2 linked regions of the Kluyveromyces lactis genome follow. The protein of the gene in region 1 interacts with the protein of each later gene in a biochemical or structural test. Links are inferred from orthologs where the notes say so. Each region holds a gene or a part of one and is shown on either strand. Other genes may lie near its edges. The genes, in order: KLLA0_F18216g and IME2.

Region 1 (4,162 bases):
GATTAGCTCCTCGCAATCAAGAATTCTGTTTTTACTTTGATTTCTTCTTTCTTTTGGAGTACAAGAACGCATAATTTGGGTTATTTCATATAGCTAGTCGAATTTGTCATCTGAAGCATTGGCCGATTTCATCATCTGATATTCTTTCTACGACGACTCTATTAGTTTCGCTGAAATCCTTTTCGGCTTCTGAGAACAGTCTCTACAGTTCTATTTTCAGATTTTTACCCGATTTGGCTTCGTTTGGTACTTTTTTTTTTAGCAGCCAATGCAAGTTTGAACTGGAAAAAGACCGTTCAAAGAGTCACAAGATAATACAGGGACAAAATATTCAACAAAGGAGCATTCTGAACTTTTGAAAGATAGTTTTATTTCAAAACTTGCCTCCACACAATTGCAAAACATTATTATATCCCTGTTTTTTATTATATCCAGTTTTCATATTTTTGTTTTGAACTCGTACACATATCAAACAGTGAAAACTGCACTCAAAATATAATAACCGATCAATTATAAATTGATTTAAGCTGCAATACCTTTCTCCCTCATTGTGTTCTCCTTCCTATCTTTACACAATATCTTTATTATCTTGTGTTTTATTAGCTGTTCTGATTCTCCTTCCTTCTCCTTCAATCAAATATTAATATTGAGGAGAGGAAACGAACCCATAATCCAATAGATCACCGACATAAGGCAAAAGTACACTCGCACGTTACAAGACTGTTGACCATACCGTACGAATAAAGGAGCACATTGTTTTATTCCATTACAAATTCCGAGATTATATCGCCTAGAAATAAAAGTAGGGGGCTATCTGGACATATTTATACTATTTGTCCACTTGTTTTTTCCCTCTCTTGGCCAGGTCACTTTGCCGCAGTACTTGAAAATTAAGACAAATTTTTTTTTGAGAAATAAAACCGGAGCTGAAGTTTCAGAGGAAAAGCGCATATTCCCCCCCAAAGTGAGAAAAAAATTGCACGATTTTCACGACGCAAGAAGATCCACGGCAAAAGGTTTTCTATTTCTCGGGATACAATATCTTTCTATCACCTCCATTCTCCGAACAAACAGGGCAAATCATAGATCGTTTTAAATAGGGTTTGTGACCAATATTTTCTCCACAGCGTGCCATATCAATAACGTTGCTCAGGTCAAATTATATTAAGAAGGCTAAATCATAACTAGCTGCTTCGAACCCACAGATTCATCGAACCGTTTTGATCAAAACAGTTTCTTTGTTCTGAAGTTTGTCATTTGAGGAATCAAAATTTGTCACATCACTATTGATTCATCCTTTTTACAGATCTGACTTTTTTTTCGTTTTTTGCACAGAGGAGGAAAGCCGAAAACCTTAATAGTGCCTAACGTCTAAAAAAAGAAAACAACAAAGAGTAATGTCATCCAATATGTCGAAAAACATCAACGAGAGTTTTAAAGACCGTATTGTGATTAATGATTCACCCAATGAGTCAGGTGAAATATTAAGGCAAAGGTCGAATGAAACTGAAAACCAAACCAAAAATAAAGAGGAAATTTCTTCAGATAAACCTGTCATCAATTTAGAAAAGGAATTGACTGCTCTTAAAATCGACCGTCAATCATTGTTAGATGATAATTTAACAAACTTGCTGCCAGAACAGCTTTCTGAAATAGCAAGTGAATCAGAAACAGATTCAGATGAGGATACTACTAATTTGTTGGATGAACCGTCTCCAAGATCCTCTGATGACCCTTCCTTTTCAAGACCATCGTCTTGTATTTTCGTTGCGTCTTTAGCGGCCACTCTTAGTGATTCCGAACTCAACGCATCCGTGACAAAAGAGTTTGCGAAATATGGTAAAATTGTGTCTGTGAAAGTATTGCGTGATCCAGCAAACAGGCCTTACGCATTTGTTCAATATGCATCAGACGATGAAGCATTGAATGCGTTATCTCAAGCTCAAGGTACAACGTTAAACAATAGAAATATTCGTTGTGAAAGAGCAAAGGTCAACAGAACTGTATTCATCTCGTCAAGTTTTGCTAATCCACTAGAGGGAAAATTAACTGTTGAAAAAGTGGTAGATTTGATGAGTAAATTTGGGGAATTGGAACAAGTTGTCCCTAGCAGAGACCAAATGTATAAGAAAAATTATTATCCAAGTGAGGTAGCAAACTCTTGGTTTATCCAATACGCTTATCGGGACGATGCGATTAGAGCATATTTGCAAATGAAACTCAATTACGAATACATGGTGGAATGGGCACAAAATGTCGATGTTCCTCCAAGGTTCAATTTGCTACTTTCAAAGGCTAAAATTTGCGAAAAGGAACGATTAGAAAGAGAACGATTCGGTAAGCAACCAATTTTCATCGATAACAAGTCCATATTCATAGGACAATTGAATTTTAAAGTTACTAAACCATTACTTTTGGAAAGGTTTTCAAAATATGGAGAAATCGACAATTGCAACTTGATCCACAAGCAGGAACAATTGAAATGCTTTGCCTTTATCAAGTACAAGACTCCGGCATCAGCTGCAAAAGCGTTGGAAAGAGAGAATCATTCAATATTCGTGGAGAAAATACTGCATGTGCAGATCAGAGAGGTATCTAATTCAAGGCGTAGTTCAATTGATTCCAATAAGTCATTCCAGGGGCCTCAGTTGAACTTGGCACCTCCGCCTTTGAATATAGGAAGGAGAGCAAGTACAGGGTCTTTTTCAAAATACATGTATCCATTACCAAATCATTTACAACCAAATCTGCCATCTCATTATGTGTATGCTACGATACAAGAACCAAGGAGAAATACTATAAACTCAGGCTCATCATCCTACCACAACCATAATCATGTTTTCGTTGGCAATACTGGTTCACAAGGTTTTTATAATGAAAATGGTAACCAGTATGTTTATGGCACAGAAAGCAAAAATTATCCCAACAAAACAGACAATGGAGTTGAAAAAGAAAATGCTTATCTAGAAGGTCCTCAGCAAATGCATAGTACCCACTTCAATAGGTCAAAAGACGATATCGAAAATAGCACAATTGAAGAAGAAGATGATGAATATGAAGTCGATGAAGACAATGATGCAGAGGACACACATTTCTTAGAACACGAGTCCAACTCATCATTCACAACTTTCAGCGCAGGCACTGGAACGTTCAAACATAACAATGCGCATAACACTGGTTCTTATCAAAAGAATCATAGTTACAAGAAGCGAAGAAATGTAGATGCACCAAGGCATGGTAGGATGGATCCAAATTTCTACTACGGCCCGCCAGTGTACTACCCAATGGAGTACTGTCCACCTTCTGGTAGCCCCGTTGGCCCTCCGCCCTCTCACTTGATTCAGCCGGGCGCTCACTTGACGGGACAGTGTCCACCTTCTCAACATTCCCCATTCTTTTATTACTTCCCTATGCCACCTCCTACACCGACATTTACTAATCCATTCCCACACGAACACCCTGGCGGTATGAACTATTTGGATAATTCTGTCTCTGGACATGATAAAGCAGACCTCGACTATTGAATATGTCATTTTCTTTCTACTTTTTTTTAGCGTAATCATTGCACTATCTTAGGCCCTCCTAGTGATTAACTCTTTTTCACCTTCTTTTTAGTCAACCACAGGGCATATACTCGGCACCGTCTTATAATATGTTCCCCAGTGGCGTTTCATTTGTACATGTCCTTCTCTTTTAGATAAATAAACTTAAGATATCATCTTAAACTTTACATGCATGGCATATATATATAGATATGTTTTCTGTTCGAGCTTCTCCGGAATTACAAACTGTTATGGTTACAACATGCAAAACAAAAAATATAAAACACAGTGAATTGATTAGTTATGACATAAAGTTATGCAACTCCAAAAATGGCTTATTATATAGTACTTAATTATTATGCATTGACAAAATCCTGTGCGTAGAATCGATTAGAAGAATAACAATGTAAGGGGATAGGGCATTTACCAGTGTTTTACTTCAACGATGTACTTACCTAAGGCCTGAAGCAATCTTTTTATCTCATTTTTAGGAATACCTTCCTTAATCATAATGTACTCCAAAGAAACCTTCCCATTAAAGTATTTCACCACTTGTCTAAATAGCGTTTGAAGATCAGTAGGTAATGCCTCAGCACATTTGTACAACCATCTCTTTTCTA
Region 2 (4,455 bases), about 1.4 Mb from region 1:
CGTCGTCCAATAATTAACATATTGTCGTACTTCATCCAATTTACACATAAATGATTCATTTACTGCCATAAGGGGGGCAGGGCGTTTCTACTGAAGCTATTAAAGGAAATTCGGTATTATCTATATCGGTAAGTTTAGCCGCCATATTTTCTTGAAAAATTTTCCTTTCAGTTGTTGTAGCCAAACTGTGGGGAAGGGAGAACTATGGTCAGAAGCGATCGCAATGTTTACCACTCACATCATGACGTGCAATAGGTGCGCCATATTGGGTCATATATAAATTACTAGTATACTTAAATTTTTGTCGGTACTTCTTAGCAGAATCTCTAGTGGGCCCCAATCTTTTCGGCGCTTACACTGCAGAATTCGGCAAATGCTGCATTTTCGGTAAATGTGCCTGTACTTAACCCCTTTATATCCAAATTATTCGATTGATCTATTAATACATAGGTTAGTATGTACATATCTTCCGCTCCCATCCTGTCCCGTTTAATTCCCGTAGCCAATCTTGCCGAACCTTTCTTCCCCTTAATCTAACTCTCTAGAAGTTGTTCGTGCCCGGTAATATTTGGAGGGGTACAATCCGATCATTTTAAAGTATATGGAGAATCAATTAATAAATTAGATTTTTAATGGTTTGTATATTGAGTTTCCCTTATCGTAGACTCACCCCTCCCCTATACCGCTATACATGGATTTATCGCCTTGTACAGGAACACTTATCAGCTTGTAGATCTGGATTTTTTTTTTTATTGCTGAAAAGAAGAATACATCCTTTGCACCAGAATTAGGCGCCGACATGTTGGAATTCTTTTGTGGAATATATAAAGGATGCGTTATTCAAAGGATCTCCTTTAATTTTGAATCTTTTTGTGTTCTCATCTTCTAATTACCGTATTGCTGTCAGTTATGTGTATCTTTTTAAGTTATGTATCAATTGTGAACGAAGGAAACCACATGCATATTTGCAGCAGAAGGAACAAATTTCACACTTACTTTTACTAGGATCGATAGTGGCTAACTGAAGCTCCTGTTGTTCTGTTTTGAAGTTTTACATTGAAAAAGTGTTTTAGTATATAACAACTAGACACAGCATCGCCTTTTCACTTTTTGAGATCAAAGGTATTATCGTTGTTTGAGTTTCATTTTGAAACTGCATATTAAGAGAGTGTTAATATATCAGGATTATTGTTTTTCTGTTTTTCTATTTTTCTCGATTCTATCCTATACAGCATTATCTAAGGTGTCAGATTTCAGAGATTTCAGACATTCGATAAATTTTTTTTTTCTAAAAAAGTTAGAATAAAGAGAGCGGTACAAAAAGGCAAAAACGGCACTCAGAAGACACAAAACGAAACACTCCAATAGGTGTCAGTTTTAGGAATCCTGTAATAAAAGCCGACACAAAAAAAGCATAAGATTAGTTATAAAATCAACCAAAAAAAAAGTGCTTCTAATTTATTACCGCGTAATTGAATCTTAAAACACAAGATTAATCGTTACATTTTAAAATAAAATTCACTAGAATATTTGTCAATCAACTACTTCAATAAAGCAAAGAAGAACAAAATGCCAGCTTTAACTTTGACCACAGCAGATTCCTTCATACCCCCAGATGTTAATAACCCTCCATTCTATATTCCGCTCAAGAATATCGATGCTAGATATAACGTAATTCAGGAATTGGGGAAAGGATCCTTCGGATCTGTGACATTGGCCGAGACAATGTACGATATGAACAGTTCAGCCACCCAAATTTCCTCAATGTACCCAGAAACTTTGATGGATCAAACTCTTATCAGAAACGTCGAACAAGAAAACTGGTACTATAAGAAAAAGGGTATAGTGGCAATCAAAACAATGATGAATAGATTACCAACATTGCATGACTATACAAGAGTCAGAGAGATCAAATTCATATTGCAAATTCCTGCACACAAAAATTTGGTTACCATATACGAGATGTTCATTGATGATTCTTTGTATCACCTTCACATTGTAATGGAATGCATGGAGCAGAACATTTATCAATTGATGAAACATAGGAAAAGAAGAGTGTTTTCCCTACCTACTTTGAGGTCGATATTATTCCAAATATTAGCAGGAATTAAACATATTCATGATCACGATTTTTTCCATAGAGATATCAAACCGGAGAATATCTTGATATCGCCATCTCATAGGTACTTCAGCAAGAAATGGTTGGAAGATGATAATTATTCGGATAATTACGTGGTGAAATTGGCTGATTACGGTTTGGCAAGACATGTGAATAACAGATCACCTTATACCACCTATGTGTCGACCCGTTGGTATAGGTCACCAGAAATTCTTCTTAGAAAAGGATACTATTCCAAACCGTTGGATATTTGGGCGTATGGTTGTGTTGTTGTCGAACTAGCCACCTTTTCACCACTATTTCCCGGTTCTGACGAAACCGATCAAATATGGAGGATTCTAGATTTATTGGGCTCCCCAGATCATTCTATCAATGGAAAGGAGCACTTTGGGGGTTCATGGCTGGATTCAAAACCATTATACCAAGCTTTGAACTATGAATTCCCATACGTAGAAGGGAAAACGATAAGGGATGTTCTACCAAACCCACAATTGGAAGATCTATATGATGTGGTTACATCTTGCCTAAAGTGGAATCCAAGTGAAAGGGCTACTGCAAACGAAATATGTGCATTGCCATACTTCAAGGAATACGTGATGAGAGAAGCATCTTTGGCAAAGACAAATAACGGAACCGCATCCAAAAATAAGGATAATACAGCTTTGGCAAATAAACTTGCAGCAAATCCATCAATATCAAACCAATGGAGTCGTATTCTTTCTGGACTACCACATAACCCGGAATTGGGCATTGTTCCTAGTTTTAACTCTCCACAGAAGTTACCAAAGGTTCAAAAGAACAATCAAATGAATTGTGTAACAGATAAAAGCCAACAGCAACCGCGAAGAGGAGGAGTTGCCTCATGGTTCAAATTTTCCACGCAGAAAAACCACGTTAACATCAATCCAAATACAAACAATGATGAGAAAATCCTTACTAGTGTTAACACGAATACAAATAGCCAGAAGAATCAAGGAATTGTAGAAAAAAAACAGCAGGAACAACAGGTAAATGCTCACAACGAGAGGCTAGATAGCTCTACAAACGCTAATGGTAACAGTATTCCTGATATAAATCTCATAGGACATGCCAACAATGATAATGAGGTATTCACTATTGAGCTGGATGATAGCATGGAGACTATGACAGGATCTGATCAAATTTCTAAGGAATTAAATGACAAAATAGAGCTTTATCAAGACACCACAAATCAGATGAACCCACCAACTCTGGATGTTGATGACGATGACGATGAACATGATTCGATTGACATGGACCATGAGAATTATAGGATTCAGGTGTTGGACGAATTTGATACTGATGAGAACTTGGAACATGAAATTAGAGCGACCGACAAAGATGAAAACAATGAAGTTGCCGTTGATAAGATGAAGATCTCCAATCAAGGAGAAGACGAAGATGATGCAGATAGTCTTCTAAACTATTATCAGGATATGATGGCTAAGAAATTACCACTTAACAAAAACAAAGGTAATTACATGCATTCGAATGGACCAGCGGGTCCTACACTATCAGATCAAATGGCAATAGACGATTCACTTGATCTACAAGAACAGATCCCAAGAAATCTGCTGGAGAGGGCAGTACAGCAAAGAGTTTTAGATTGTCTTTTAGATCCATCGGAACATGCATCTCAAAACCTGATTCAAACCTCTAACTCCCACAATCATACATTCCAAGATGGATTAAGTTTCTGATCGTAGAACAAAGAACAGCAGGCTGTTCCTCTCTTTCAGTTCTACTCGTTGAAATTTCTTTCAACAACGCTTTACCTGGTCCTCTTCCCATTCATTTATACCGTTTATAATATCCACACACACACACACACATATTCACCTTTTGTACCTGCTAGCTCATAAGTTTTAACATAACTTGCTTCTATTATTTCCTTTATAACTTGTTGGATACAGGACAGAAATGCCGACAACTCTTTCACTCTATAACATGGTACTTCTACTTGATTTACCTCTTATGTACACTATTATCCTTACTGTCTTTGTTTACTATCTCAAGTTTTTTTTTTTTTTCTTGGTAAACTGTTCCTATCAGCTCCGAGGTCCGATGATTCAAAATCTTTCGAGCCATCAACTTTACATTGTACTTCAAAGTCTTTATAAAGAAGAACTTCGGTTAAGAAAGAACATAGATAATATATTCAACTATACAGCTTTCCTCACATTAGACAGGCAGCGAACCGGAAATGTCCAATTATGATGTTGTCATTGTTGGCGCGGGTATATTTGGATTAAGTACTGCTGTGCAATTGGCTCGTTCCAAATATAAAGTTGTGGTGGTTGATAAGTTTCAAATTCCAT

What was found.
Region 2: of the proteins of KLLA0_F18216g (region 1) and IME2, one has a biochemical effect on the other in vitro, tested with the Saccharomyces cerevisiae proteins (2 studies listed by BioGRID). The link is inferred for Kluyveromyces lactis from reciprocal best matches to the Saccharomyces cerevisiae genes RIM4 and IME2.

What each region holds. Positions count from the first base shown.
Region 1 is NC_006042.1:1,676,334-1,680,495, forward strand, and holds KLLA0_F18216g (uncharacterized protein), read left to right. Parts: upstream 1-1,397; coding exon 1,398-3,524; downstream 3,525-4,162. Other genes in the region: NPR3 (Npr3p), read right to left, coding at 3,966-4,162. UniProt on the Saccharomyces cerevisiae protein: Positive regulator of sporulation-specific genes and of sporulation. Required for premeiotic DNA synthesis and meiotic chromosomal segregation. May act in a nutritional signaling pathway.
Region 2 is NC_006042.1:262,760-267,214, forward strand, and holds IME2 (protein kinase IME2), read left to right. Parts: upstream 1-1,569; coding exon 1,570-3,837; downstream 3,838-4,455. Other genes in the region: KLLA0_F02860g (NAD(P)/FAD-dependent oxidoreductase), read left to right, coding at 4,341-4,455. UniProt on the Saccharomyces cerevisiae protein: Protein kinase which is essential for the initiation of meiosis and sporulation.